Linked DNA regions of Diceros bicornis minor. The protein of the gene in region 4 purifies or fractionates together with the protein of the main gene of each other region. This does not show direct contact. Links are inferred from orthologs where the notes say so. Each region holds a gene or a part of one and is shown on either strand. Other genes may lie near its edges.

Region 1 (8,018 bases), on a different chromosome or scaffold from region 4:
CCACCATCTTGCCTCTTGACGACTGGCTTCTGTCTCATGGCAAGCAGATTGTGCCCTTTGTGCGGTAACAAACTCACCCCAATTTTGATTTATAGATTGACTATGGATTATTTGCGTCACCAGCCCCCAACCATGGGGCAGTGCCAAGCAGCAGAGGTGTACTCATAGCACAGGCTTGGGGCACTGTAAGGGCCCCCATTCTCTCTCGAGAGGAAAGAATCCTTGACCAAAGCAAAGCTTTACCCTAGAACTTAGGACTCAGGATGACATGGCAGGAAGGGAACCAGACCAAGGTCACAAGACTGCTTGGCAGCCGCACAGCTCAAGCATGGCAGAATCTTTGGCTGTGTAATCAGCAAACACTTAGAACCTACCCCGTAACAGCGTCCTCACTCAGCTGCCCTGTCTGCTTCCTTCTGCGTAAAACAGGACACACCACTGCCCGCCTACCCAACAGAGAGCAGAATGACTGTCACCTCCCTGTATGTGACCACGCTGGGTGCCTGAAGCCCTCCCAAGACAGAACAACACAGGAGCCCACCACAACCCCCTCCCAGTCCAAAGGCTGGAAGTCCCGTCCCCTTGAGGCTGCCCCCGGGCAAGCCAGTTAAAGTATCACGTATTTGATACTCAAGAGAACAATCCTCCCATACAAATGCAAAAGAAGGTATTTAAATCCAAGTAGGAGAAGAATGGCTTCTTTATTTCTGGCCTCTGCCAGCTCAGCAAACAAAACCAACATTACTTTCTGGATTAAAACTCCACCCCCACCAACTATTACAGAAAACCACACTTACTTTTAATAATAATTTCTTTCTCTATCAAGTATGCCAAACGAGGGCCCGGAATGTTAAACTTCATTTGGTTCAGGAGTCGGTTCCTCAATGGGGCCATCCCCGACTCCCCCAGACACAGCTAGCCCTCCTCTCTACAGTGCCCTTCCTGCCTCTACACACTGGCTGGATATGGGGTTTCTGTCTGTCCTTCTCAATAGAACAGGGTTCTCTTGGGCTGTCTGGTGAAACCTATGCATGTCCCTTCCTTGGATAACACTTAAAAATGCATAACAAAATACACAGGTTCACCAAGGAAACCAAATATACTGAAACAGTTATCAAAACATTTAAAAAGCTTACTGGGATACAGTAATCCACGAGCTTTAAAGCATTAAATAAAGAGATCTAGCACCCGCTGTAATACCTACTGTAATTCTGAAGTAGTGATGAGCATAAATGATATTTTGGGAAACTCCCAACAAACGTAAAATGATATGAAAATATCTGTAATTACTGTTGATGACAAAAATCAAGGTACTGCTATTAGGCCTTTGCTTTGCTGCTTACATTCATAACTGGAGGAAATAATGAATTGAATCTAGACATTAGTGACCATAGGGATGTAAATTTATCATCTAAACTCAGGGACCTCTTGAGTTCTATCCGCCATCCCAGACTCCAGGTTAGGAGCCCCCTGCACTAGGAGGGAGCTTCGTAAGGTCAGGCCGCCCATACACTCAGGGTCAAGTTCAAAGATGCTTAGTGGGAGACACGGCTCTTCAAGTGGTAGGCCTCGCCTGCTTCTCCATCCTCAACTTCCTGCCACTGGGACTAATGACTTCTAATCAAGCTCCCATCCTGGGCACACAATGCCTAATGCACAGCTCCATCAGGTGGCACCCACCCAGGTACAGCAGTGTTCATCAGTCACCTTCCCTTTAACAAAACTGGAAGCTGCCAAAGGTGGAGTCTCTCTTTGTGCCTCTGGTACCTGACACAGTGCCTGGAACCCAACAGGCGCTCAGTGAGTGTTCACGGAATGAGTACTGTGTGCCGAGTACTGAGCTAGGTTGGCCCTGAGGATACCGAGATGGCAGCCTCAGTCCCTAACACATTACAAAATGAGATACCCTAAGTACTCGGTACCCACTCTCTTCCACCTCGTAAGTGGAAATCCAGAGAGGGCTGTCCAGCCATTCCTAAAACATGCTACTGCCCTCCTGCAGGGAGGGAAAACCAAGCCATCTTGACCCTATGCACCAAGTCTGGATAACAGACAGCTTTAAGCTGGAGGAGGAGATGACAGAGCAGATGAGAACCAAGATTACACCGGCAGACAGGAGCAGGCTGGAAGCTGGAGGAGGCAGGGACCCCTCAGCGTCAGCAGGGGCCTTCAGACACAGCTCACAGCCCACCCAGCAACCCACTAGCCATCTCTGAAGCCTCAGGGAACACGGGGCAGGGGGGATCCCCAATGTGTCAAGAGGCCCAGGTGAGGAATCCCGGAGCCCCTCTTACTCAAACCAGATAGCTGCAAATGCATCAAGAAGAAAATGCGTCTGTGAACCTGGAAAGTTTGGGGAAAATGTTATTTTCAACCACAAATTAGGCCAAAAGTCAATGCCCTGTACAGAAATGACACCGACTTGTGTGGTTTTGCATAATTAAAAAAAAAATGAGAGTGAGTCGAAGTTGAAAGAGCCAAAAATAGATATATAAAAAAAATCCTCCCGCGCCAGTCGCCACCATCAATGTAGGACAAAAAAATCTTCCAGGACAAGGTAGGTCAAAACCTGACTAGGTTCCAAAGACCGTGCACACATTTTCTCCCCCCGAGGCGAAGGGCAATGAAAAAACCAGAACTCCACCCCCCAGAAATATAAATAGAAACCGCTCCTTGTTTTTACAAACCGAAGGGGTCCACGAGCTCAAGAATGCATTTCCCGGGCTTTTCCTGCAAGATCAGCAAAAGCTTGCGGGAGGGTCCGCCCGGCGGGCCACGCGGGGGAGGAGGGGCAGCGGCGCCCACAGGCCCGGGCCGCCGCTCCGCTCCGCGCAAGCCCTGCCCCCTCCCCGGCCACGCGGAGGCCCCCGCCGCGCACAAAGCGGCCCTCCGCCCGCACCTGCACCATGATGGCCATCCGGAGCGAGTCCTTGGGGATGCTCTCGCTGCATTTCTTGCAAGAGGCGCGCCCGCTCTTGGCGTACTCGACCCGGTAGAGCTTGTCCGAGGCCTCCGCCATCCTCCCGGTCCTCGCGCCGCCGCAGCCGCGGGAGCCCGACGCCGCGCCCCGGAGCCCCGCCGCTGCCGCCGCTGCCCGCCCCGCGTGCGCGCGCGCCCGTCCGCCCCCCGCCGGCGCCCGAGCTCGCAGCGCCGCCGCCGCGCACGCCGCGCACGCCCCCGCCGCTCCGGGTAGATTGCTGATGCCTGGCCCGCCGCGGGAACGCCCCCCGCGCGCGCGTCCACGGGGCGGGGCCCCGGCGCGCGCCCCCTGCCGGCCCTGGCGTGCCGCCTCCCCGGCGCCTGCGGCTGCGCGCAGAGCCGGGCAGGCCGCGCGCGAGGAGGTCTCGGAGGGACCTGGTGGCGCCTGCTTAACCGTTTCGTCGCCAGCAAGGCTTGCGTGCTCTCACAACTAATTCCACCTCCATCCCTTTTAATAAGTGTGTCCTTTCTCCCCGGAGCGCGCCCAGGTCTGGAAGGCGCGCGGCTGGCCCGGGAATGTGGTTGCTCTGCTAGAGAGGGGTCAACGCTGGCTGACCCTCGGCGGGGGTTCTAACTACAGTCCGCAGACCTTCCCGACCGAGTACGAACTGAGCTCTAGCATCTCCTTCACTGTGAATTTTAAATGCATGGATGCAAATCCTGGGAGTATTAGCAGTACCTGTGACTATGTCGGCAGTAGTCATCACAGAGGTTTTCATGGCCCTTTACAGTTGTTGGAGAGAACTCAAAATATTAAGTTCATCGTTACTTGCAATTGCTGTCGTTACTACACCGTCTGGTACTAGATCTCGTTATTTAGTGTAGAACTATGTTTTTATATAACTGGTTTCTTTTTTTTAACCCTATGCATTGTATTTTATTCATTTAAAACATTATAACGGAGAGTGCTGTGTTTGAGAATATTCAGTTCTGCTATAGAGGACAAGAAAAGGAAACGGGATGAATGAGACTCATAAAACCTGTTAAGCATAGAGAAGAAGAAAGCTAGTAGCTTAAGAGACTTGGGTGTGGAGTAGGCAAGTGGGTTATGAGACACAGGCAGAATCCTAAATTCATGACCTGTTAGATATGTCGAAGGTAAATAGAATAGGTGGAATATATGATGGTACAAATAAGAATTTTACTTAGAGAGTAACCAAATCAAAAGGCATGATCATCCCACGTCTGGGTTGACAACTATGTCATCCCTAAAAGGCCTCTCATTGGTGATAACATTATGGTCCCGTTCTGGCTCCGTCTGATTTGCGCAAGAGTTACAGATAAAACCCATGTCTGTTCAGCAGGCTGACTGACAAACTACATCCATGTCCAGGCGTACTTGCCCCTGTGTCTCTCTGATAGGTGACTGTGAAGTGGCTCCAGGTACCCTCTATTGAGTAGCCTTGAGCGTCCTCAGCTCTGGTCTTCGTGACCCCATCATCAGGGGGGCTGGCTGATGCAGCAGAGAGAGAGAGACAGAACATATGGACATTCAGGTGGTATGGTCCTTCCGCCTGCCTGTTCCCTGTCCTGTGTGTGTTATCTGCCCCATGCTGTTCCCTTTGCTGCAGGAACTTTAAATCAGGTGTTTCAGGTGATTCAATAAACCTGTAATTCAAGCGTCTTAATTTGGTCTGTGAGGCTTTCTGTTTTGTGACTTCCGGGACAGCTTGCCTGATAGCGTATCTGGAAGCTACCATCGCATTAGAATTTCTTAGACCTCACTGCACCCGCAATGGGGTCCTGGGCAAACACACACAAGATTAGGAATACCTGGGTAGAATTTTAGGGAGAGCCAGCCATATCTTACTGCCTAGTCAATACTTCTGTTTGGGTGTCATATATGCTTCTCCAACAATGTCCAAAATCTCCCCAGTGCTTCCCATCTCAGGAAATGGTCCACGATTCTCCACATTGTGTAGGTCAAATGCTTTAGAGTCGACTTGACTCCTTTTCTCTTCCGTCCCACATCCAATCCATCACCGAATCCTGACTTTCCGACTTCAATCATTTCTCACCTCCTTCCCATCAGCACTGCTGTGGAGTGCCATCATCTTTTGCGGTTCCTCCACAGTCTCCTGCCTGGTCTCCTTCCAGGCCAGCCCTCCTACAGTCTTTTCTTCCCGTGAAAACACATGAGGTCGCTTTAGATCTCAACCCGTATTATTTCCATGTTCAAAACCCTCCAAACGCTTCTCCTCATACTGGGAATAAAATCCAAAGTTCTTCCTGCGGCTGAATCTGAACCCTGGTCACTTCTCTGATATCATCATCACCCTCTCCCCAGGGCTCCTGCTGCCCCAGCCACACTGGCCTCCTGCCTGGTCCTCAGACACCCCAAGCCCACTCCCACCCCAGAGCCTTTGCATTTATTTTTTCTGGAACAGTCTTCACCCAGCGAGCACACAGCTCACTTCCTCTCTTGATTCAGCTTCTGCTCACACGTTACCATGACCACTCCAGCTAAGATGCTTAGTCTCTGCACACTGTCTTTATCTTCTTGTCTTACTTTATATTCTTCTTTCTACTTCTTACTCCTAACAGCGTATTTTATACATATGCATGTGTTTATTGTCTGTCTCCCTCACCAGCATGCAAGCTCCTCCAGGGCAGGGGTTTATCTGTTCTGCTCTCTGTACTAGCCTCAGTGCCTGGCACAGTGCCAAGCATTCAAAAATATTTGTTGAATGAATGAATGAATCACACCTTTGACACTTCCTCTGCACAGCCCAATTGTTTAATAATAACGGTACTTCACACTTATATAGATTTTTGTATTTTATAAAGGGCATTCATAAACATAAGTTTGTTTGCTCCTCATTATAATGCTATGAAATAGGTTACTTTAAAAACTAATAAATGACTGTATTTACTTAGAAGCATTCAGATTGTCCACAAAACAGCTGTAACTTTTTATCCCCCAATTTCAGAGTGGTATTCAGTTAACAGAACAACAATTATTTCATACAAGCTGCGTGAGAGACAATTGAAGTTGATAAAACTACCATGCCCATGTATAACAGATTAGTTAATCTGTACTGTGCACCAACGAGAACCTGCTTTGAACTCCTAACCCGCATACTATATCCCCGGTGAGGTTGGTGGCTATTGAAAATACCACCAGGTCAGGGTTGTCTAAAGAATTACTTGGTAATTCTTGTTAACAATATCAAAAAAACCACAACAGTTTAAAAACATATCTTATACAGCTTTATCTTTCAATTTTTATTCTTTAAAGGAATGAATTATGGAGGTTAAATGCTTAATGGACAAGAAAGAGAAAGAAAAGCTGACCTAGAACCACCTTATTCTTCATCATCATCGTCTTCAACTCTGTCGTCTCCATCTTTCTCCTCCTCATCCTCCTCTCCTTCTCTGTCTTTCTCCTCTACCTTTTTTTCTAGTTGTGAGCAGCCTTGACAGCATCCTTTTGTGCCACATCAGCTTTCCTTTAGCTCAGGATGCAGCAAGATCCTTCCTTCTGCTGAACGGCCTTCTCAGGCTGCTTGCCATCTGCAGCGCTGTGGCTCATGTCTCTCCCAGGTTCTTTTTTTTTGTTTTTGTTTTTGTTTTTTTTTGTGGGGAGGACTAGCCCTGAGCTAACATCTGATGCCAATCCTCCCCTTTTTTCTTGAGGAAGATTGGCCCTGGGCTAACATCCGTGCCAATCCTCCTCTACTTTATATGGGACGCTGCCACAGCATGGCTTAGCAAGCAGTGCGTCAGTGCGCACCCAGGATGGGAACCTGCGAACCCCAAACCGCTGCAGCAGAGCACGTGCACTTAACCTCTGTGCCACTGGGAGGGCCCTCTCCCAGGATCTTTACATCATTGCCTACGGGCAGGCCAGGATCCCCTTTGATTCTTGGCCGATCCTTGGAACACACTGAGGAAACGGCCAAAGGAGTCCTTTTGGGTGCATTGGAAACCCTGAATTTTTTGTTTCTGCTTTAGAAGGGATACAAGTTTTCATTCTACAAGGGCTCTTGTCCACTCTTGACGTGTCTCCAATTTCCTTTCTCTTTATCGGACAAGGCTTTCCATTTTTCTGACCATTTTAAAGAACATCCTGAGAAGCTGACTGAAACGTCTGGATGTTTTTTCCTGTGCTCCTTCTGGCAAGTTTGCGCAGAATGCCTGTGATGACATTTTGCCTCTAGGCTTCTTAGGGTCTCCTTTGCCTGTGCTTAGTTATTTTTCCTCAGCGAGGCACAGAGTGGCCCAGTGCCCATCAGCTCTCACTTGCCTTGGCAATGTCTCTAGGTAGGTGTTTTTAAATCCCAGTTTTCAGATAAGAACATGAAGCTGGAAAGGTCTAGGGACTTGCCCATTAAGCCTTGTCTGCTTCCTCTCCTGACCCTTCCAATCCCTCCCACTGCCATTGTCTTCACCACTTCTCCCCTCAGCATTATTCTTCTCTCCCTTTTCCAACACATCCATTGCCAAAGTTTTTTTTTTTTTTTTAATAAATTTGATTATGACTTCTACCCTGCTCAAAACCCTCTGTTGAACTCCTGTATTAAAACTCCCAAAAGAGAAGTTTTGGGAAGGGATACGAGGGTATCTAATAGAATAGAAGGAAGAATCAACCAAGTTATGGGAAGGACTAAAACCTGATGGACTGTAGAGATGAGAGGACCCAGGGACTTAGATGCCTCTAGGACTGTGTCTCTGCTTCTTGTCTCTGCTTTTCTCTGCAGCATGTTTCCCTCTCACGGGAGACTGGCTTCTACCACACGTGGCAGAGATCAAGGCCACCGATGTTTCCCGACCTCTGTTTCTTATGGTTCTTACCACCAGGGGGGGCTTTTTTCTTCAGTTTTACTTAAGACGTTCCAGCTAAGAATTCTGATGAAACCAGGGTGGGTCAGATGCCCACCCCTGGATCATTCAACAGGGACCAAGAGGTATGTCCTGTAAGAACATGGGGGCTTCACTACAGACATGTGGAGAAAGAGGGGGAGAGGCAGACAATAGTCATTCCATTTTGCTTAACCAGAGATGGACAGCTGGTGGCCTGAGGCCAAATTCGGCCCACA
Region 2 (7,624 bases), about 14 Mb from region 4:
GAACTCAGGGGGCCAGCCCAGTGGCTGAGTGATTCAAGTTCCGCACGCTCGGCTTCAGCAGCCCAGTTTTGTGGGTTCGGATTCGGAGCATGGACCTATACCACTTGTCAGCCATGCTGTGGCAGGTGACCCACATATAAAAAATGGAGAAAGAATGGCACAGATGTTAGCTCAGGGCTAATCTTCCTCAAGCAAAAAAAAGAGGAGGATTGGCAGCGGATGTTAGCTCAGGGTGAGTCTTCCTCAGCAAAAAACTCAAAAACAAACAAACCAAGAACTCAGAATTTAAGATTTTCTGATTTTGAAAAATATCACTCATTGTGCAATTCCCTAACACAATCTAACCACTCAAAAAATAAATGCAGATATAAATACATATGTTATAAGAAAACAAATAAGAAGTTAAACCTTTGACACTAAATGCACTGTCCAGGGAACTAGAGCCTCCCTGTAATAACCCTCCAGGGCTAAATCAAGAGGACATTAGAGAACGGCATACAAACTGCAAACAATGATGGTGCAAGCAGGCCTACCTGCCTCCCAAAACAAAACAAGAGAATATGATATTAGATATTTTATTTATTTTTTTGTGAGGAAGATCATCCGTGAGCTAACATCTATCACCAATCCTCCTCTTTTTTGCTGAGGAAGATTGGCCCTGGTCTAACATCCATGCCCATCTTCCTCTACTTTATACGGGATGCTGCCACAGCATGGCTTGACAAGCGGTGCGTCAGTGCGTGCCTGGGATCCGAACCCTGGGCTGCCGCGGCGGAGCACTCGCACTTAACTGCTATGCCACCGAGCCGGCCCACTGATATTAGGTATTTTAAACATCCCAACACCTCTTCTCTCCTTTGACATTGATAAACCTAGTCTTAACAAAAACCAAGCATTCTAAGGGGAAAAAAACATGCATGGAGGTTAATGCAAATATGCACACTTGGCAGCAACGAATTCAACAAATGATCCATTTTAGAGTACTGTAGTATAATAAAATGACAAATGTGTCAGTCTAAATACTAAAACCCCACTTTGGAACATGCATCAGCAGATATATAGAAAAAGTTCTATTAGGAAGTAGGCTTTAAAATTATTATATTAACATGTGTAACTATCATGGCTATGTACAGTACACTCAATCAGAAACTTTGAGGGGCTGGCCCCGTGGCCTAGTGGTTAAGTTTGGCATGCTCCACTTCAGTGGCTGGGGTTTGTGGGTTCAGATCCCGGGCATGGAGCTACACCACTGTCAGCCATGCTGTGGCGGCAACCCACATACAAAATAGAGGAAGATCAGCACAGATGTTAGCTCAGCTACCATCTTCCTCAAGCCAAAAAAAAAAAGAAGAAGACTGGAAGATTGGAAACAGATGTTACCTGAGGGCAAATCTTCCTCAGGAAGAAAAAAAAACAAACAAAAAAACTTCGATACTCACTGGAATCCCAAGTTGTTCAACATCTAAATCCATCAACTTCATTTCATAGTCTGAAACCTTTTCTTGATCTACCAAAAGAAAGCAAATGTTGAAGAAAAGCATGTAAGTTTATAACTATAATGTAAATTTTACAAGCATCATAAACATCATCTTAAATTTCTCACAGCTTTGAGAAATACTGACACATTTTAATTTTCTCTAGCATAACTCAGTAGAAGAGTATGACTTACTTGGAGCTTCAAATACTAGTGCCAAGGTGTCTGCATTATCTTCAGCCCTTAGGGTAATGATGTCTTCATTGCCAGCACATTTTAGTATTTTGGACATACTAGAACGCAGAAGACACAGGGTTTAAAATCGACACCATCTTCTCAAGATCATTAGATTTCTAAGCAATTAAAACAAGGAATTACCATTTTTACCCATTAGGCTGTCTGATGAATTCGAGAGTGAGGTAAATGTACTGCAGGAGGATGTAGAAACCGTTCCAGCCCTTTTGAAATGCAATTTGGCAGTATTTGCACTTAAACTAAAAAGCCCACACCGTACCACCAGCAGTTTCATTTCTGGATATAAATAAAAGAGCAATATTTTCTGAATTGCAAATCTCTTTTAGTGGGTGAAGTAAATTATTGGGCCGCGATGACCATTATAAACGATCTAATTAATACACCTATTAAAACACACTGCATGTAGCATGGGTAAATATTTCTCATAAGCTTTTTACAACTTAAATATGTGTATGTGCTAGACAGTGACCAAAAGTTGAAAGCCACTGCCCTGGAGAAATCTTTCCTCAAATCCAAGACCTTGGGTGCTCACTGCAACTTTGTAATAATAAGAGACCAGCAACAACCTATTGTCCCTAAGTAAGGAGACAGGCCTAGAGATCGTTATAAAGCGGTTAAAGTCAGCCGGGACCAAGGTTTCTCATCCAAGGCCCCCGGCACCCAATGACCAAAGAGCTCTGGAACAGTCTTTTCCTGGCACCGCAGAGAAGCCCGTCATTTTCCCGCCACCACCGCTTTGTGACTTTGGCGCGGAAAGAGCCGGTTCGCGCGGCCGCCAGCGCGGGCTTTCGGAACCGCGCGCTGCGCTGGGTCCCGCCCCCCAGCACAGCAGCCCAATGACAAAGCACAGATGGCCCACGCCGGCCAATGAGGACCCGGCTCGGAGGCGCTCCCGCCAAGAGCTGGGGTCGCGGGGAGCAGGACCGGCTCCCCGCCGCCCTGCGGCTCACCTGGTGAGGTTCACGCCCATGGCCAGGTTGCGGTCGCAGCGGTACGTGTCGAAGCCCTCCGAGCGCAGGGTGAGCTGCACCAAGGAGACGTGGGACGAGTCCATGCTCTGCAGGTTCACGCCGCTCGAGCTGATGTCCCAGCAGGCCTCGTTGATAAGGTCCTTAAGAGCCTCCAGCACCTTCTTCAGGATGGAGCCCTGGACCAGGCGCGCCTCGAACATGGTGGCGGAGTCGCAACGAAGCGGCTACAGTCAAAGGAAAGGAGGAAGGTGTAGCCGGCTTAGGCTTCACAGAATGAAAGCAAGCGAGCGCACGCAGCGGCAAAAGCCCGAGAGGGTGGAGAATCACACGCCTGCCCCGCCTGCGACCGTTTAACACCGCCGCGTCTGCGAACGCGCGCTCTCTGCCCCTGCGCCCCTTGCCGAGGCGTCACCACGCTGCCCGCCCACCGTCTGGGTGGAGAGACTCCGGGGCCAGTCGCGTGCCTCCTCCGCTCAAAGCCCGCCCACCCCGAACATCCATTGGAGGATGAGGGGGTGGAGGCGGGAACCCAGCGCCTCCCCGGGCCAAGAGGCGGGGTCAGGCAGGACTCCCCGCCTTTTTGTCCTGTTCCGGAGTCTGGACGCTGGACGAGTCCGGGCATAGTGAGGGCCAGGCCCGGGCCAGGAGTTGTTGAGCGTCAGCTTTATGGTGCCTCCTCAACCTCTGGCTTTGGGAATAAAGAGTTTCCAGTCACGCAAGTGAAAGTGAAACACAAATCCAGCCTACCGGGAGGAAAACCCGCCTGTAGCCTGAAGAGAACAGCTGCTTTAAATGTGCATTTTATTATTGCTATTATAGAAGTCACGCGCTCCTAAAAGTCCAACGATAAAGAGGTGTACAGTTATGATAAAGTTATGATAAAGTTAAGCCACATACCCCCCCAAGCTCATACCATGCAATCGGTGCTTTTATACTGCTTTCTAACCTTTTTTTCTGTACAAATACATATTTTTAAAAACAAAAATGGGTTCATCCTGTTAACACTTCTGCAATGTACTTAATAAAGTATGTTTTATGCCACGTTCATCTGTTTTGTATCAGTATCTTTTTAAAAGATGGCATAATATCCTATGTATGTAACCTAATTTACGGATTTCTTGTAATTACGAATACCTTTGGGCACTTAGGTGATTGTTCTGAGCTCAACTCCTTGAAGTAGTATTGCTGGGTTGAAGATCATACATATTAAATTTTGGTAAGTGTTACTAAATTGACAGCTAAAATATTGCAGTTTATGTTCCAGCCAAGACTGTGAGCATACTCATTTCCCCTTATTTTCCTAACTATAGATATTAGCAATCTCATTTTTAAATTTGTGCTCATTTGTGTGAAAATTTCAATTTGCATATTAAAAATTGTTACAGGTTGGACCTCTCATATATTTCTTGACTATTGCATGCTTATACTTTTTCTATTGAACTTTTTCCTATTGATTAAAAGGAGCACTTTATATATTATATTAATCATTTCCATATTATATATATCCCCTTGTTGTTTCTCTTTTGCTTTGATTACAGCATTTCCTTTTAGTTGCGGTTGATATCTTATCTTGGTCTGTAGAATTCTTTAGTTTTTCTACCATATATCTAGGATTTGGTTTTATTTATCCTGTTCAGGGAATTTTGTGTTCCTGAATAAGAAGATTCATGTATTTCATCATGTCTAGAATATTCTCAACCATTATGGCTTCAAATATTGCCTTTCCTCAGTCTTTCCCTCCCTCTGGCATTGCTATTAGATGTGTCTATTTCATTTAATTGAAGATACCTTCAATTGCTGTTGTTTGTTTTTTTGCTACTGAGTTGTATGAGTTCTTTATATGTTTTGGATATTAGCCCCTTATCAGATATATGATTTGCAATTATTTCCTCCCATTCAGTAGGTTGCCTTTTCATTTTGTTGATGATTTCCCATTTGTAAATTTTGATACTAGCACTTTCTTGCTGTATGTGTGATCAGTTATCCTTTTGCATACATCTATATATCAAAATATAACAGCTTCATCTTTTTGTGAGTATTTTCCTTTCTTAGGTCTTTTAGAGTCTCCATTCCTTTGCAAAACATGGAATGTGTTCATTTCTCCAGTGAGGAACATTCGCTTCACTAATAACAAAGGTATACTCTGCTACTCTGTTTCTGTGCTTTTTGCTTAGATAATGAAATTTTGGTTTAATGCTAAGTCAAAGTGTAGTAGATTTGAAGACATTTTAAATGGCAATTAAACTCCACCCATGTGGTACCCACAATGCACATGATCAATTGAAATGAGGGCATATGAATGGCTATGACCTGTGGTCAGAGAAGGCCTCTCCAAGGAGGTAGCATTTTACCAGAGAAGCTAGCTATTTGGAGAGTGGAAGAAAGAGTATTCTAGGCTGAAAGACTAGTATGTTTTAAAAGGACAGCATGCTTAGAAGGGGTTAAGATAGTAGTTTTAGATTTCAAAGATTTTGAGGGGATATGTTTAATTGAGATATAATTGGCATATAATAGAACTCAAAGATTGGTGTGTCTGGGGCCGGCCTGGTGGCGCAAGTGGTTAAGTGCGGGTGCTCCGCTGTGGCGGCCCAGGGTTCGTGGGCCCGGATCCCCGGTGCGCACCGTCGCACTGCTTGTCGAGCCATGCTGTGGCGGCGTCCCATATAAAGTGGAGGAAGATGGGCACGGATGTTTAGCCCAGGGCCAGTCTTCCTCTGCAAAAAAAGAGGAGGATTGGTGGGCTCGCCCGTGGCTTAGTGGTTAAGCGCACGTGCTCCATTACTGGCGGCCCCGGTCGATCCTGGGCACACACCTACGCACCGCTTCTCCGGCCATGCTGAGGCCGCGTCCCACATACAGCAACTAGAAGGATGTGCAACTACGACATACAACTATCTACTGGGGCTTTGGGGGAAAAAAGGAGGAAGATTGGCAATAGATGTTAGCTCAGAGCCAGTCTTCCTCAGCAAAAAGAGGAGGATTGGCATGGATGTTAGCTCAGGGCTGATCTTCCTCATAAAAAAAAAAAAAAAGGGGGGGGGCCGGCCCGGTGGCGCAAGCGGTTAAGTGCGCGCGCTCCGCTGCAGCGGCCCAGGGTTCGCTGGTTCGGATCCCGGGAGCGCACCGACACACTGCTTGGCAAGCCATGCTGTGGTGGCGTCCCATATAAAAGTGGAGGAAGATGGGCACAGATGTTAGCCCAGGGCCATCTTCCTCAGCAAAAAAAGAGGAGGAATGGCGGATGTTAGCACAGGGCTGATCTCCTCACAAAAAAAAAAAAAAAAAAAAAAGATTGGTGCGTCTGGAACACCATTGAACAATAGGAAGAGTGGTGCAAGATGAGGTTGCAAAGAGAGGCAGGGGTGAAGTCTCATAGGACTTTGCAAGCCCTCTAAATGCAAGGGAAAGTTATCCAAAGAAGGTCTTTGATGTGATCTAATTTGTTTTAAGAGATCACTTTAACATCTGGTAAAGGTACTATTCCAATCAGTGAGAGAAAGAATGAATTAGGTAATTATGATGAAACAGTTGGTAAAACTTCTAGGAAAGAATAAAGCTATAGATTCTTCCTAATAACTGTTCACTGAAATAAATTTCAGATAGATTAAAGAATTAAAATTCAAATAAATGTAAACCCAGTAAGAAATGGAAAAGTATTTTGGTAAATATTTATGACATCTTTCTGTGAACATCTAAACATAAAAAGAAAAACCTGTCAAACATAAAGAATGACATACATAAGTTTTAAAACTTTGGTATGCTTAAGAGAGCTGTGTTGGTTAGTACACTTTATTTTTTTTATAAATTCTAATCATTAGTTACTATTTTTTATTTATTTATTTTCCCCCCAAAGCCCCAGTAGATAGTTGTATGTCATAGTTGCACATCCTTCTAGTTGCTGTATGTGGGATGCGGCCTCACATGGCCGGAGAAGCGGTGCGTCGGTGCGCACCCGGGGTCCGAACCCGGGCCACCAGCATTGGAGTGCGAGCACTTAACCGCTAAGCCACGGGGCCAGCCCAGATAGTACACTTTAAATTTTCATGACAGAGAACCCAATTCAAACTGATGAAGAGAAAAGGAAAATTTATACATCTCAACAAAAGCCAGAGGTATCTGGCTTCCAGTGTCCAAGGCCCAGTCTTAGTAAATGTATGAAAAAATGGTTAGCCATATATTTGTGTGTGTGTGTGTGAGGAAGATCAGCCCTGAGCTAACATCCACGCCAATCCTCCCCTTTTTGCTGAGGAAGATTGGCCCTGGGCTAACATCCGTGCTCATCTTTCTCTACTTTATATGGGACGCTGCCACAGCATGGCCCGACAATCAGTGCGTCGGTGTGCGCCCGGGATCCGAACCCAGGCCACCAGCAGCGGAGTGCGTGCACTTAACGGCTACGCCACGGGGCTGGCCCTGGTTAGCTGTATTAATAGGCAAAGAAATATAAATTAAAGGGAGATAGAATTTTAACATACTGTATAATAAAAATTGTGTTAACACCCATTTATTAGGAAGGATTCAAAGAAGTGGGCGCTTTCATGCATTGAAGATGGGAGTACAAATTCGTGTGACTTTTCTAGTGGTAATTTGGAAATGTGTATGGAAAGCCTTAGAATTTTGTTTATTCTTTGACACAGAAGTTCAATCTCTAGACTTTTTTTCTAAAGAAGTAACCAGAGATACTCACTAAGATGAAGCATGTTTAAGAATGTTTCTTATAGAATTATTAACAATTCTCCTGAAATTGGAAATAACCTTGAGGTCTAAAAATATGGTCTTTGTAAGGTAAATTATGGTAAATCTGTAAGATGGAATACTATATAGCCTTTCAAATACTGTTCTCAAAGGGCACTTAATGATAAAGAGAAAAGTCATGTTATGAAACAGTATAAACAATAGTATTCCAATTTTCTAAAATTGTTAT
Region 3 (8,011 bases), on a different chromosome or scaffold from region 4:
TCCCAAGACGTTACGTTAAATTGATGAGCTATCACTCATAAACAAAGACCAAACAACTTTAGCACCTAACTGTAAAGCTTTGCAATCAACAGCATACTTAGATTAAACTGTCAAATCTCTGGGAGGTTCCGATTCCTCCTCGAAAGGGGTATTCTCAAAGCGAGGTCTGCCAACCAGCATCACTTGGCACTTAATTAGAAATGCAAATTCTTGGGGCACAACCCAGACTCAATCAGAAACTGGTGGAGAGCCCAGCAATCTGTTTTAAATAGCCCTCTTGCTGATTCTGATGTCAGCTCATGTTCAAGAACCACTGTGAAGAGTTTAAGATTGATATAAAATAAATCCAAGAACATTATAACCTATCATAATAAACGCACCAAGAGGATAAAAAAATCCTATAGTAATCCTTCTTCCCTTTATAAATCCCAAATTTCCAATATCTAAGAAAATCCATGTAGTTATGCTACATCTAATAGCTCTGGTTCTCACCATGGTCAACTCTCTAGTAAACCTAATACGTACAAAACCATAATCTTCCCTGATCCCAATGAGAATGAATGAGTATACATATAAAGTATGAGCAAATACTATTCCCCAAAAACTACTACTAATAAAATTACTTGAAGACTAAAATACTGATATTAAGGCAGTTAACAAAAATTACTATTATAAAAAAACTGCTTTTAATAATAAAATTATTTCTGTATACTTTTCAGCCACCCAGCAACAAATAACTTGAGTTATAGAAATCAGCAGTTAACAAAGGTAACAAGTCTAAACCCCCTCATAAGTATAAAACTGAAACCCAGAAAGTTTAACTGATTTGCCTGACACAGCTAATAACCAGCAGGGGCTAAAATCCAGTTCTCTAACTCCTAGGCCAAAATTCTTTCAACTGTCACACTCCCCAATTTACATCCCACACATTCACCAGTTAATATAATTAATCTTAAAGATTAGAATAACTAGCTGTTTTGGAGTTTATTCCTTGCTTGTTTCTAACAGCAATTCCATCCAAAACAAAGGTCGCATACTATGTGAAACCCTCTAGAGACCTAATGACAAATACATGGTATGTTTAATTCTCTACAGAAGGAATAGCAAACAGGACACCAAGCATTCCCCTGGCATGAGTATGGGAAACACACAAAAAGGTCAGAAGACGTGCAACTTAAGTCATCCTACTTAAATCCTTCCTCTCCAGCCAACATGAAAATGTTACTAATGCCCACCTATTTGAAAACACATCTAGAATTGTTTCAGATATTAATCCTGTGGCCACATCATTCCAGATGAATATTACCTCAAAGGAACTGTTACCTTGGTACATGCCGATCTCAAGGAACCCATAATTCTAACACCTTAAGGCAAAAAAAAGTGCCCTTCAAATAATTTCAACTCTTATCAATAATTGTTCTTAAACATTAATTCCTTACATTTCTCTTTATTTGCCAGCAATATTTTTATTAAGTCTATGATCTCCTGAATTAACCAATCACTGCTCTTACCTCATTTCTAACAGTTCTGCAGAGGGATAAACTTTAATTTTAAGCCCATATAATAATATATATGTTTAGGCTTAAAAAAATATAAAGGCAACGCCTTTAATCCCCATCACAGTATCTACACGGTGAGGGATCAACAAATGCATAGCTATCTATAATAAGACTACTTTTATTTTCTATCAAGTAGACTTGTTTCCTAAGGGATGAATTTATCCTGCAGTGTTGGTTTAAACTGTGCTTAATAACATAAGTTTTTGTGAGAATTAACACACTAAGAAAAATAAAATCAATGAAATCTTACACCAGGATAAAAAAAGCCATTTCTCAGAAAAGTGAAAGGGGTGCTATTTAGAAACCTATGTAATTTTTATAAGCTTAGCAAAAATTTTTAATCATGTTTCAGGACCTTGCAAATACTAGGCACTATAATACGTGCCTAAAACTATTTAGTCATGCATTTTTGTTAAAGTTTAGATGGTCTGGAAAATTAATATGAGAATACCCTGAAAGTCAAATTTTAAGTTTATCAGGACGTTACATTAACAACAAACGCAATTCTCGTAAATATTTTTCCCAAGTGCAGTTTGGGAATTTCCAGTTACCGCTAGTGGTTGCTGTAACTAGGACCTCGTAAACATCCAGATAATATACTACTTTTAGCACCTAGTATTCCAATAGGTGGGTAAAACCACTTGACTATCGTATGTGATCAAATTCCTTACCAGTTTCACTGATTTAATACGACCCTGGCAACCAACACTCTTACGCCTCAGTTTGTCTGAGAAAGACAGTAATACCTACCTCAAGCAAAGTTCCACTAACTTATATATTTCAAGTGATTTGTAACCTGCAGATAAAAAGTAAGCCAGCTTTAATTATTACTGTTAATATGTAAATGAGATTACAATATTTTTTAAAAATAGAATTGAAAATAACCATTTCGAGGTCCATCTTTTGCTCAGGGAGGAATAAAATAAAAAGCAACAAAATGTTAAATCTATTGTTATAATATTCGTTATTCTTACGCCCTGCGGTACGCTCCAGGATTTACAGGCCTGCGGCACAATATGTACTCTGCAACCCTCCCCCAACCCCCGCCCAATTTTTAAATTTAACAGGAAACAGCGGTACTACATTAACTTCAACTATATCAATGCGCATCTCGATCTTTCCTTCCACGATCTCTCTTGGAGTCCTCATGGTTTTAGAAAAGGAAAGGAAAGCAGCCGTTAACACAGGGAGCGAAAAAGAAAAAGGACGTTTTCCCTGCGGATCGTGGCCTAGAGGACACTAGGCTAAATCTACGCAAGCGCTGAGACCTACAAAACTCTCTCCAGCATAAGACACAATCCCCCAGTGCCAACAGAATAAACCGGGGCCTGGTTACTCTACCGAGGGGAAGGTTCCCTCGTCTCCTCTCCCGCACACTCTCGCGCTCCCCGAGGAACCCAACGCCTCCCTTGCTTCCGCCCCGTCTACTTACCAGGAGGGGGAAGGGAGAAGAGATTCGATTCTGAATCTCCTACCCCCGGGTTCTACGTGAAGAAGCCGACTGCTGCTCGAGGTCGGCAACGCGGCCGCAACCGGTTCGTCTCTTCACAAAATGGCCCCCGAGCCTCCTCTGCCGCCGAGGAGAAGGCCTAGCCCCCGCCCCACTTCTAGGAATCTTCCTATTGGCTGCGACTTTTCTCGCTCCCGCTTCTAATTAGACAGTTCTACCGCTCTTCACGATTCTGCCCAATCACAACCAGTAGTGGGTTAGACTAAGCAAGAGAATTTCCACATGCGTGAGAGAAGCTAGTTTGTAACTGGTTGTTTTTCCTGTCATTTATCGCCTGAGAAATGCTTATTGGCCACTGTACCTGACGAAGCGCTGGGTAGAAGCTCGCCTTTGTATCGCGCACCACTTCACATCCGGGTATCTGGAAGGTCTGATTGGCGGCCACGGTGTCCTATCTCTGCTCTTTAGAGTGCCTGCTAGAAGGCTCGCCCAGATCTCGGAATTCCCGCGGCGCGGGGGCGGGGAAGGAGTCAGGGGTTTTGTTAGGTAGCAGGCCTTGAGGCTCTGCCCCAGCCCCGGGCCTAGGAAAAATGAGACGCGCAGAGTGAATCCTCCGTCGTGCGCTGTGGATAAAGAAAGGACTTTTCTTGGAGTGGGGAGGGAGCAGTGAAGACTAGGCCTAGTCTTGTGTGTAGAAAACTAACCTGCCCTGCCGTTTTTCCAACCCTAGATCCCTTCTCGGTTCTAGACTCAAATGTCAGCTCCCTCCTGGACAACTCCACTTCATAGCCTGTCGGGCCCTTCTTCAGAAAATCCATATCTCACCTAAACCAACTGACTTCCTAATTCTTCTCCACTACAAAAAGTAAAGAAAGTCTAAATTCCAATCTTGGAATGCTACAGCGCCCATCCTCTGGCCCAAGTCATCTCACTTACTAAAACCCTACATGCCCACTAAATAGGCTTCCCCCTCTGTCTCTCTCCCCAAACAATCTGGTCCCTTAATTCTTTTCATCCTGAAATGGCGTGTTTCCCATCTACTCGTCTGGGTCGTCGCCTGCCAGGCTCTCTCGTTGTATTAGCAGCCATGAACGCAATGGAATAGGACCAGCTCTACTAAGAATGAGGCAGATTTCTCTGTGCCATTAGGGAAAGCAAAGTGCAAAACACTGTCTAGATGATGTGATTCCATCTGTATGTAATAAGTAAGGGATATAAGTGTATGTGAATGCAATTTTATGCATTAGTTTTGAATTAATTCTGAATTCCAGAGCGATTCACGAGGGAGCTGGCTGTTACCTGTCAAAGGACAAAACTAAAACAATTTAGTAACGAATTTGATGTCCTTTATTCAAGGGAAAACAATCCATGGATTGGGAGAAGGCAGTGCCTCACAAGCAGTGGAGCACTCTTGCCGAGGGCAGGAGCCAGGTTCATGTAGCATCAGAAGCCTCACGCGGAAACAGGCGGAAACAGCATGATCGGCTGGGCTTGCGTATCTGACCTTATTTAGAAAGATCAAGGAACACGGAAATAAATACAGTACATAGCCCAGAGCTGGCTTGGTATTTGAGGATTGGATATACTGCGTTTCTGGTCAACTGGAGCGTTTACAGGAACATGAAAGTTCGGTTTGCTGACGTGTCACCCAGCATGAGAGTCTCCATCTTGGGCCTAGAAATTTATTTCAAAATACCTTTGGGGAGCGAACCTTCTACCTTTTTCGATGGTATGCCTTTCTATACTGTTTGAATTTTTTCCCATATGCATGTATTGCTTCAAGCTAATTTAAAAAGCAAAAACAGAAAGTGTGTAAGAAAAAATATACTAAAATGTTAGTAGTGGTTCTCTCCTGGTGGGACAATTACATGTGCTTTTTTTTTTCACTTCCTTGTGCTTTTCTATATTTTCCAAATCGTCGACTTTGAACAAGAAATCAGAGAGAGAACATTCTACAAGTGCTTGAAGCCTCAGCTCAATTGCCCACATTGCAATTTATTTAAAACTACTTCAGAGCACTGTGGTTAATTTTACACTCATCTCTTCTCCGCTCCTGGATGGTAAGTTTTTTGATGGCAGAGTTTAATTTTTATTCCTCTCTGTATTCCCCTTGCTTACTACATATCACAGGGCCTTAAACAGAGATTGTTTTAAATTTGTATTAAATTAATTAATTATTAACTTTTATTTGTCAGGGGAAATTGCTATTTTCCCAGGACAAACAAGTACACTGTCCTTTCTTTATTATATATTTTGTATAGCACTTAACTCAGAGGGACCCGGAGACTGTGAGGCTTGGTCTACGTGTAATTCATGTAATTCTTGACTTAAGTAAACACAAATAAACACTAACATGTTTTATTACTCATTGTTCTCATAGAATAAAAATGTCTATAAAATGTCAATGAAAACCACTTATTTCATTTTACCAGAAATCAGTTTTACTGCATGATCATTGTCATGACCTACTTATTAACCAGCACTGTATTTGGTGCAAGAGAAGTACTTAAGAGACAGCATTTATGTTTTCCAGGAGTTCACTCCTATGCTAGGTAGGGTGAAAATGGAGGATACATGAAGAATTAACAATCAGTACCTCTGTCAAGTAACTTAGAGTTTACTAAGGATGAGAAAACTAGTGCAAAAATAGCATAATACAAGGCAGAACGCTAAGCACCATGTTGATAGCAGACATTCATGACAGTGGTTTTAAGGCTCTGTAAACCTAGGTGGGGGAGATGGAGGGAAGGAAGTTCCGTTGATCTCTTCTGCTTACTCTAAACACCTTTACAGTTCTAAAGGTGAATGCTTCTTCTATTGGGTGGCTGTGTAGAGTAGAAAGACAGCCATTAGCCAGACTCCAGGAGTGGAGGGAGAGAGAAGGAAGAGGTAAGGAAACAGAGAAGAAGTTAACTCCTTACCTTGGGCTAAAGAGAAAACAAAACAAAACTGAACTTTTATTTTTAATTCAAGAAGTAATTCTATTTGAGGAAGGCTTTATGTGGCTTGGGCGTTTTACCAGAATAATGTACCCGCTGTAACTTCTCTCCTCCCAATTCCAAGCCACCTGTCAAGAAGAAGAAAGGAAAAGCAGCAATAGCTATGAAATGCCTAATATTAATATTATTATATTAATAATATTATAAAGATATTACACAATACTTTCAAGACCCTTACTCTTTTACTGCATCCTGTTTCTCCCACCTTGAGTCTGTCCCTCAAGCTGATCCTGCAAACTGCTGTCATGGTAATCATCTGAAAGCATTCACTTTCACTGTGTGACTCCCACACTACACTCCTGTAATAGCTCTCTATTCCAGTCCTACGTTTTTAATTGTTTCATTCACAGCCCTTCCCTGACTGTCTCATTACCTGTCAGTGTTCTCCACTCCACAGGGCCCTATGCCTGGGCAGCCCCTGCTGTCCCCACTCCAATGGGCCACATTGCTGTTCTCTTTCCCCATAATCCAACCATTCTTTAAAACCCAACTCAAGTCCCAATTAATGCTTTTAAAGAATACATGATGATTCATTCAACTGCTTATTTAATCAACCAATACTTTAGTGGGTTTTTTTTGACTTTAAGTATTTTATATACTCAAGGCATTGATCTAAACGTCACAAAACTGGATATAACTTAGTTCCAGTTCTCAAACTTTGCACCCCTTCTCAAACTCATTTCGTAGTCATTATTTATCCCATAACAGGATAGCACTGTTTTGTTCTGTAATCCTTTTGTTTATGGACCCCAATTTGTGCTTGGTGTATGTGTATGAATCACAATATTGAATAGGTTGATTGTTTGACTAGTTATCTGACATAGTATTTCATTATACCTATTTCTGTTTTCATTCCAAAAGCCTTTGGCAGTGGGTAAAATCATACTAGGGAAATTTGGAATACAGAGTCCAGTGAATAGATTACTGATGATCTGGCTTCTAGAGTACAGATTCTATAAAAAAGATTTTACACATTGTTAATAAAATTAGTCATCACTTCGGTTGCATACACACCTTCTCAAGGCTTCCAGTGTGTTTTTTCTTTCTTATTATTTTAAAGCTTTCCAAATGGAAATATCCTATTTGATTTTTTTCTGATAAATATGTGATTATTGTAAAAATTTGAAATACAGAAAAAGTGAAAATCCCTATGTGATCCATTCTCCAAAAACATCCATTTTTAACTATTTGGTATAGATGTTTACAGATTTTTAAAAAATGTATATATGGATTTATTTTTACCTAAGTATTATAATCTGTAGTCAGGGACTTTTAAATTTTTGTTTTAATAACCAAAACACTGAGCTTAAAAATTAAAAAATAAAAGAACAAGCAAAAAATCTTTATCCACAAAGCTTGAAAAAATTAGAAAGATTAAAGAAATTCTGAATCATGACATCCATTTAGTGGTTTTGGGGTTGAGTAGTATTTGACTTTAAGTATTACTGGTCACCCTCATATTAATAATAATAAAAATAATAGATAACTTTTATTGAGCGGATATCATGCATCAAGCACTTTTCTAAGTATTTTACATGAATTAGTTCATTTGGTAATTTTATTATTCGCATTTTAAATATGAGGAAACTAAAACACAGAGAAGTTAAGTAATTTGCCTAAGGTAGCACAGCTAGTTGTTAATGGAGCTAAAAATGCTAGGAAGTCTGATTTTAGAATGTGTGCATATAACCATTACAAGTTATTAATAATATAAGTTTTGCAAAGGTGGAAAAATCCTACTCATTTATTTAACAAATATTTATGAAGTACGTGCTATGTAATAAGCATTATGCCAAGTTCTGTGCCAGGTCACAGGAACATAGAAGTAAACAAAATAGACATGGCCCCTGACCTTCAGAACAGAGTCAAATACTAAATGAATAATTAATTAATTGCTTAAAATAAATTTTATTAAGTGCTACTAAAGATAAGTATAGAATGCTATGGACCTGTGTAATATAGGCCTCTATCCCCTTCAAGGAGATACTGTGAAAATAAATGAC
Region 4 (8,086 bases):
TCAGCTCTGTAAGAAAGTAGAGATGTGCAGCTTTTAACTTCTTCATACTAGAATCAAATATATAGCACAGTGGCTAAGCTTGTGAGCTTTGGAGTGCCCAATTCACTACCCTTGGGCAAGCTAGTAAACATACCTAAGCCTCGGTTTCCTCACCTATCAATTGGAGATAACAGAACCTAATTCATAAGAGTCCTTCCGAGGATTCAATTAGATGATCCATGGAAAGAGCTGAGATTCCTTTCTGGTAGAGAGTAAGCATTCAATAAATATTAGTAATTACTGCTATTACAAGCAAACAAACACATTCTAAAACTCCACATAGCCAGTTTACTTAGTCTCTATACAAGTGGCCGTACAGATCAATAACCTACCCAGCCCACAATCATTCAAATACTCAATAGTTCCTTTGTATAATTTAGCTGAGAACCATGGAGGTTAACTTTCCCAGGAGAAAGGACTAACCTTTGTTTCATTACTAAATACATTACCTACTCAGCCCAGCTTGAAAGTTAAAAGAACACTTTTTCTGTATGAAGATCCTACCTTCCTCCAAGAAAGGTCAAAAGGACTTCTTACCTCCTCACCTGCCACATCATTTCTCTGCTCACACATCCCAAAGAAACATATCTATACTCTTGCTGGCTTTCTGAACTGCAGGACCTCATCTCCCTCTTTTAAAATCCTGATAGGTTGGCTAAACACAGTTAAGAAATACTCCAACCCCTGACACTCAGCACCTAGTCTTGCACAACACCAAGCTCAGAAGTCACCTTCTGAGAAATTTCCCCACCCCCAGACAAAATTAAGTCCCCTAGTTTCCCAAAGCATTCTGGGTATATATATACCCCAGTACCTACCTTATAATTAACTAATTACATCTCACCCAATAGACTAGATAGAAGACATGAGCAGCGTTGTGGCAGAAGGTTCAGCTCTAGCACTAAGCACAGTGCTTATAACATACTAGGTGCTCAAGAAACGCTACACTTGAACCAGATTCTTTCCTCACAGAGTACCATCTCCCACTGGATGCCCCACTTCAAAAGCTGAACATAAGGCCGCTCTCAGTAGAGCAGGCTAACACGATGGACTGCTGATTACAACATCAGAAAACCTACTCATCAGCTTCTCCCATTGGAGACGTTCCCGGAACCCAAACTCAATTGAGCAGGATTATGTACCATCAGAATCAGTGGGAATTCCCAGCACACTAGAGAGGGTACCTTCTCCTTCAACAGGATTGTTGAAAAGCCCACAGGGTGAGCTTTTTATTGGGGGAATCTTCATTGGGTAACTGAAGTGGAAATACTCAAAGAATAAATGCCTTGATTTGGCTGAAAAGGGTTCAAAGACATAAAGATCCAGGAAAAGCAAGCTAGCTCTCTATTCCTGAAAAACAGCGGCTTCTGAAAAAGAATGAACAGGAAGCAGGGGTGGCTGCTGGCCACTCTTTGTTTCATTAAATAAAATCTTTTTTCCTTCCCCACAGCCCAAAAGAAAACGCCAGTACACCAGGTCCAGACGAGATGCTCAACAACCCTTCCTCCTGACAAGTACACTAAACTGCGTTTCTAAAAAAACATTGCCTTAGGAACCTCAGCAACATGAAAAGTTCTGGTCAGTAATACTTTTATTTAAAAAAAAAAAATCAATACGCCCCATTCCAACATTTACACTGGATGGCCCATACAGAACTCGCAAACTTTTTGAAGAGAGGTACAACTACCTTTGCAAAGAACACAACTTGGGGAAAACAACCTCAAAATATGAAGAACTCCACAGAGGGTGGCTTTCGTTTTAGAGCCATAATTCCTATCATAAGCATCTTACCAAAAAAAAAAAAAAAAAAAAAATCAACAGTTTGCCGAAGGGTATCTTTCATTCTGGAAACAGAAAAGGAAACCAACAAGAAGCAGAAAGGGAATAACCCCCAAAATAAAGTTCTCTTCGGGAAAAACAGTAACAATTGAGTCTCCCACCCTTCCCTCCCGGGTGAGGTCTGTGATTTACAGGGCTCTGCTCGGCAGAAAGCTCTTTCTGGGCAGCTCGAGGAAGGAGCCGAGGGAGGGAGAGAAAGACAGCCACAGAAAGGAGAGGAGAGAGAAAAAGAAAATGGCGCAGAGACTAAGTCCCGACTGTCGACAAGGCGACTTTCCCGGGAGGAATCCGGGCCCGGAAAGGCCGCCCGAGGCCCGGCGGCGGGCGACGCGGGGTCTCCGTTGCCCCCTCTGGGGAGGGCCGCGATCTGGGGGCGCTGGGGTCCCCGGAAAGGGGGTCCAGAGGCGGCCCGATGGGAACAATGGGGCCGGTGAGCGAGGAGCCGGGACTTAGTCTCTGGGACGCCATGTCTGTCCTCTGCCCGGCTCGGGCAGGGCGCGGGGTGGGCGGCCGGCGGCTGGGGGGCTCGGGGTCGGGGGCACACTCACCATTCAGTCGGAAATCCCCTTCGATCTGGAGAGAGAAAAGGAGGGAATGTGAAACAACAAGCACAGGAGCCCCGCGGGCGGCGAGCGCGCGCGGCCGGGGGCCTAGCCCACCCCGCGCCCCCAGGGATGAAGGGGCCCCCGGGCGGCCTGAGGGGGCAGCCAGCCCCCCGAATTGTAACTTGGCGGCTTTCGCCTGGGGTCCAGCGAGCCGATCTCCTCCGGCCGGCCGCCTCCGGCCGGGGGCTCCGGCCTGTCAAAGCGGCCGGGCCGGCGCCGGGGCCAGGGCCTGCGCCGGGGGTCGGGAGCCTGGGCCGGGCCGGGCCGTACCTGAGAATCGTTGTGGAGATGGTCCCCGCTCATGTCGGCCGGAGCGGCGAGCGCGCCGGGCGGCGAGGGGCGCCGACGGGATGCGGACGGTCGGGACCGGCCTGTGCAGGCGGACGGGGGCTCCGGGAGGCTCCCGGAGGCGTGGGTAAGCGGCGGCGGCGGCGGGCCCGAGATTCCCGGAACGGCTGAGGCGGCGGCGGTGGCGGCGGCGCTGACTGACTGCCTGGCAGGCGGAGAGAGCAGACCCCAGCAGTTGTGTAACAGCCTAAGTTCGCATTTCGGCCCACTGCGCCTGCGCGGCCGCTTTTAAACGGGACGTCGGCGACGTCAGAGACTCGCGGAAAGAGGCCGAGGGTTGCGGGGCCCGCCCCCTCGCGCTTCCTGAGGCGTACCCGGCTTTGCATCGAAAGCCCCGCCCCTAGCCCTCGCTCTCTTCTGTGATTTGCATAAGAAGCCGACTCCTCCCACGGCCGCCCACCCTCAGCAACCTTCCCTTCCTCTCCCGGCGCCTTTTCTCGGAACTCCGGATCCCTCTGATAGGCAGTGCGCAGGCGCAGCGGGGACTCCGCCTCCGGACCGTGGCCGGCAGCGCGGCCACGTGGTGGGCCTTTAAAGGCCGCGGCGGGACCGCTCCAGGCCCGGGCCGAGCTGATATGCCGCCTCTTGGATCGCTTGAGCTGCAAGTAACTTGACAGCCGGGGCCCCAGAGCTCTCACCAGCTCTCCTTAGCTCGCTAACTGGACCCTGAGGCCGCTTGGCAGGAGGAGCCCCCGCCCCAGCCTTTGTCCAGGCCTTCCAACTTCTGGATTATTTCTCGCCCACTTCCTAAAATTTATTTTAATTTTTCAACCAACCGAAGGTCTGGTTTAGCTCCAGTTTTCAGCTGGGTACATGTAGCCCTGTGTCACATGAGGCCTAATTTCATTCGTTCATTCTACATACATGTATTGAGCCTCTACTGTGAGCCAGGAATTGTGCTGAGAAAGGGGTTGGGGCAGGGGGCCAGAGGAGACCGGACCTCGGGGGTAAACACGACTTGGCTCTGTCCATCGCTGTATCCCTAGCATGCTATGGGGCAGAGGGGAGATGAAATGAATGGAGAAAGAGCTGCCGTTTGTGGAGCATCTACAGTACTCCGCTCTGAATGCACACAATGGTTCTGAGGTCGCCTATTTTACTAAAGTTAAACTGTGTCAGAGATGTGACCTACAACCTCGTACCTGACATCTACACTTGGATACCTCCCAAGCTTTTCCAGGGCCAAACTCATCATCTGCCTCCTCCACCCAGCTAGGAAAGCTCCACCCTGGACATCTTCGTCTTGCTTGTTTCTCAGTGCAGCTGATGACATCTCCTCAATCGATCATCTATATTTCCCCACTGCCCACATGCCTGAGCAAGTCTGCGTTATCTCTTGCTTGGATTATTACAATACACTCCTAACAGAGGTCCCTGTTTCCATTCTGGCCCTCTCACAAACTGCTCGCCAACAGAAGCCAAAGTGATCTTTTCAACATGCAGATCAAACCATTATCCCCTTCCTGCAATACTTCCCATCACTCTTAGTACTAAATCCAAAATTCTTGATGTAGGGGCCAGCCCCCTGGCTTAGCGTTTAAGTGCGCCCAGGTCACGTCCCGGCGCACACCGAGGCACCGCTTGTCTGGCCATGCTGAGGTGGTGTCCCACATACAGCAACTAGAGGGATGTGCAACTGTGACTTACAACTATCTACTGGGGCTTTGCAGAGAAAAGGGGAAAAAAAGGAGGAAGATTGGCAATAGATGTTAGCACAGGGCTGGTCTTCCTCAGCAAAAAGAGGAGGATTGGCATGAATGTTAGCTCACTGCTGATCTTCCTCACACAGGCAAAAAAAATTCTTGATGTAGCTGCCAAGGCCCTGCATAACTTTCTTAATTCAAGTGTGACTTTTGTAAATTTTGCCATATCTATTACCACTTCCACTGTTATTACTTAAAATTAAAATTGATCTCTGTATTTGCCTTCATCCTAATATCTATGAATAATAATGTCTATGAAATAATTTACAAATAAGAACAGTATTCATCCATGGACCATTGAAATCATCTCTCTATCACATCTCGTGGTAAACACTCTGGGGTTAATTCTTGTGAATGCTTCAAAGCTCAACTTAAATATCACTTTCTCAAAGTGACTCCCCTCCAATACTCCCTGACTCCCCTTTCCACCCAGATCAAATGCCCCTTATAGAGTGTCTTTTTCCTTTGTAATGCTTATCACAATTGTTATTAAGTTACTAATGGGGATAATTAGTGATTTTATGTCTCTCTCCCCTACTGAATGCAAGGTCTGTGAGGATGGGGACCTTGTCTATCTTGATCCGCAGCACCCAACAACAGATGCTACAGAAGAGGTGTGCAATCAATGAGTGAATGACAGCAGGAGAATACAGTGGTTAGGAGCATGCACATAGAAGTCAAACCAATCTAGGTTTGAATTCTACTCTGCTATTTATTAGTTGCGTGACCTCAAGCAAGTTGCACAACTTCTCTAGCCCCAGTTTCCTCCTCTAAACAATGGTGATTATAGTGGAATTTTCACAGAGTATCAAAAAAGAAAAGTAGTTGCTTGAGAACACATAACTAATAAGTGCTGCATTTTGGATTCAAATTCAGGTCTGCCTGACTTCAAAGCTATGCTCTTTCTCTCAAGCAAGCTGCCAGAACCAGTTTCACCTTACGCTTGGTGTCTTTCCTCATTGTCTTCCCATCTCAGAATAATCCCAGGCCAGCAGGTGAGGCGTGTGGTTCCTGTGTGCTTACTCCAGTTAGGCCAAGATAATTTGAGGACTGCCTTAAGGAATAACAGTGCCTCCTACGACTACTCCACCACCACCCCCAAAGCTCAGGGAGAATCTGTATTTGCTTTCCAGCTATCTCCAAGGAAGATCTGGGTAAGCATGAAAACAGAGCACAGACTCCAAAATGGCGTACCAAGCATGGTCCTCATGCACAAACATGCAGGTATCCAGGCGTCTAGTCACAGGCTGAGCTTCTCTGCCAGCATGTGTGGCAGGCAGTCCTCGGAGGTTGACTGGTTCCCCAAGCCCACATGGCCACTCTTTGACTCCTGACACTTCAAACCAGTGTCCCCACAATATGGGCCATCCACCCCTAGTGCTTGAGAATATTGTAGGTAATGCGTAGACAAGCTTTTATTTTAATCGTTATGTATATATTTCCGTGTGTATGAGAAAAAAAAATTTAACCACCACATCAAATCCATGATTTTAAGGATGTAACTGTTTAGGACGAGGCTAAAAAAAAAAAGTTGGCTCATCGACTTAAATAAAAATATCAAGAAATAGCACAGAGGGAATGTATAAGAAACTCGGGGAAGGTCACAGGCAAATAAATGAGGCTTGGGAAGCCCTACTTTAAATCAAGACTGCTCTCTCATGGGTCATCCCAACCCCCATAAAAATAACTAGCAGATGACAGCTGATGTTGTAGGCCTGTTTCCAAAATATGCACTGTGAAAGGTGGACGATTTATAGATATTCCACTAAAAGAAGGGCTCGGTACAGAAATACATACATTGTTGCAATTTAAAGTTAAACAGGTCTTTTCTCACAGGACTTCTCAGAGTCATCCATATGCTACTACCTACATAAATCTTAAAAACAGGGACATAGCATGCGGCGTCTCCAAAATGTACGTAGGCCCAGAAACGGTTTTTTCCACACTACCTCTTGACACTGAGCTATTTGGAATGACTGGACCTCAGGCCGCCTGATTTAGGTGGTCGCCCAAGATCCAGCCCCGACTCGTTTGCGTCTAACTCTCTTGAAATTGTTCTTATCACGTTGGCCCAACTGTTGGCTCCCAGAACTGAGCACCTATGGGATTGTCTGAACAACTTCTGCTTTTCAGGGACCTGTCCTCTGTACAATGTGCACGAACGTACAAATATGCTGCTGTCCCTCTGGCCACAGTCATTTGACCTAAGCTGAGCCACTCAGATCGACTTCCATGAGACTTTGGAATTGAGAAGGAGAGAGTGGTTTGGTTGCTCTTCTTCGGGGTTGATCTATAGTGTGTAAATTAGGGAGCTGTCCTAGCAATATTTTCTGCCAAAAGGGCCAGAGAAGGCTGAGGGGAAGGGAAGGGAAGGAAAGGAAAGAGAAGGCCCTAATGGAGTTCAGGGTCCTGGTTCCTGCTATCTCCTGAGGCCTTATTTCACTCCTTTCCTGTACCCTTCTATAAATTCCCCCTTTTGCTTTTGCTCTGATGGGTCACTTAAGACCAAGAGCTCTGATAATACTCAGTGCTAATCTATACTTGATTCCTGGATATTCTCAAGGCCTCTGTTATCCCTTTGGCCCCAGCTCTCGGCCCCTCTTGTTATGGCACATGGGTGCCCCTCCTGGCATTTTGACCTTGGATGCTGGCACAGTCTCGACTTTGCCAATTCTTGGACAGCGGTGTCTTCTGGCAGTTCTCCCTGCCTAAGGACCTGCTGCCCTTTTGAAATTTGGACACCCTCAGAAAAGAACCCACTTGACGCCCCAGAAAGGAGACTCAGGCTGGCAATCCCAGCAACAACCAGAAACACCCTTGGCCTGCTGGTAATGAAAGAGCTCAGCAAAGGTTGAAATTTGTGGAATAAAAAGAAGAGAACAGGAAAGATCTCAACCCTTGAGTCATGGAATGAGAGGACAGACAACAAGGATATAAGAGCATGGCCGTGTGGCTCAGGCAAGGAGGGGAGTCCACTTTCATGTAGCTCCTTTGCCTTCCTGCCAGAAGACATCTTTTCTGTGATGAGGACATTTATTCATTCAACCAATATTCCTGAAGGAATGAGGGAATGGGGACTATGAGGTAGATAGATACTATGCTAAGCCCTGGGGATACAGATATTAATAAGACTTAAACCTCATTTTGGAGGAGTTCCTAGTCTGATAACAAGATAGAAATATTCCCCAACTGTTACTATAAGGTACAAGGAATAACAGGGAAGAGGTGGCCAGCCACCAGTTGCTATGGGAACTCTGGGGTGGGGGAGGAACATCCAACTCACTAGTGGTGGTAGCAGGGGCAATATTATGAAAGGCTTACAGTTGGATGCCATCCTTGAAAGATGAGGAGGGGCTGGCTTGTGGTAGAGAAGGGAAGGTATCTGCAAAAGAAGAGCAGACTCTGCAAAGGCAGAGATTCATGGGCATGAATAGAGTCAGGATGGTCAGGATGGAGCAGAGGGTAAATGTGAAGAAACACCAGAGAATGAGGCTGGGAAGGTGGAGAGCACTCTCCTAATGACAGTGGAGCTACTGCAGGGTGAGCTATGAC

The links.
Region 1: the proteins of TOP1 (region 4) and PARP1 purify together in Homo sapiens (affinity purification with mass spectrometry; 4 studies listed by BioGRID and IntAct, with this or other methods). This does not show direct contact. The link is inferred for Diceros bicornis minor from reciprocal best matches to the Homo sapiens genes TOP1 and PARP1.
Region 2: the proteins of TOP1 (region 4) and PCNA purify together in Homo sapiens (affinity purification with western blotting; 3 studies listed by BioGRID and IntAct, with this or other methods). This does not show direct contact. The link is inferred for Diceros bicornis minor from reciprocal best matches to the Homo sapiens genes TOP1 and PCNA.
Region 3: the proteins of TOP1 (region 4) and HNRNPC purify together in Homo sapiens (affinity purification with mass spectrometry; 3 studies listed by BioGRID and IntAct, with this or other methods). This does not show direct contact. The link is inferred for Diceros bicornis minor from reciprocal best matches to the Homo sapiens genes TOP1 and HNRNPC.

Annotation. Positions count from the first base shown.
Region 1 is NC_080777.1:7,604,538-7,612,555, reverse strand, and holds the start of PARP1 (poly [ADP-ribose] polymerase 1), read right to left. Parts: upstream 3,069-8,018; 5' UTR 3,020-3,068; coding exon 2,900-3,019; intron 1-2,899. UniProt on the Homo sapiens protein: Poly-ADP-ribosyltransferase that mediates poly-ADP-ribosylation of proteins and plays a key role in DNA repair.
Region 2 is NC_080758.1:33,278,599-33,286,222, forward strand, and holds the start of PCNA (proliferating cell nuclear antigen), read right to left. Parts: upstream 3,069-7,624; 5' UTR 2,901-3,068; coding exon 2,680-2,900; intron 1,768-2,679; coding exon 1,670-1,767; intron 1,508-1,669; coding exon 1,440-1,507; intron 1-1,439. UniProt on the Homo sapiens protein: Auxiliary protein of DNA polymerase delta and epsilon, is involved in the control of eukaryotic DNA replication by increasing the polymerase's processibility during elongation of the leading strand.
Region 3 is NC_080744.1:28,066,007-28,074,017, reverse strand, and holds the start of HNRNPC (heterogeneous nuclear ribonucleoproteins C1/C2), read right to left. Parts: upstream 3,112-8,011; 5' UTR 2,992-3,111; intron 2,356-2,991; exon of another isoform or gene 2,310-2,355; intron 1-2,309. UniProt on the Homo sapiens protein: Binds pre-mRNA and nucleates the assembly of 40S hnRNP particles. Interacts with poly-U tracts in the 3'-UTR or 5'-UTR of mRNA and modulates the stability and the level of translation of bound mRNA molecules. Single HNRNPC tetramers bind 230-240 nucleotides.
Region 4 is NC_080758.1:19,539,305-19,547,390, forward strand, and holds the start of TOP1 (DNA topoisomerase 1), read right to left. Parts: upstream 3,005-8,086; 5' UTR 2,787-3,004; coding exon 2,754-2,786; intron 2,452-2,753; coding exon 2,427-2,451; intron 1-2,426. UniProt on the Homo sapiens protein: Releases the supercoiling and torsional tension of DNA introduced during the DNA replication and transcription by transiently cleaving and rejoining one strand of the DNA duplex.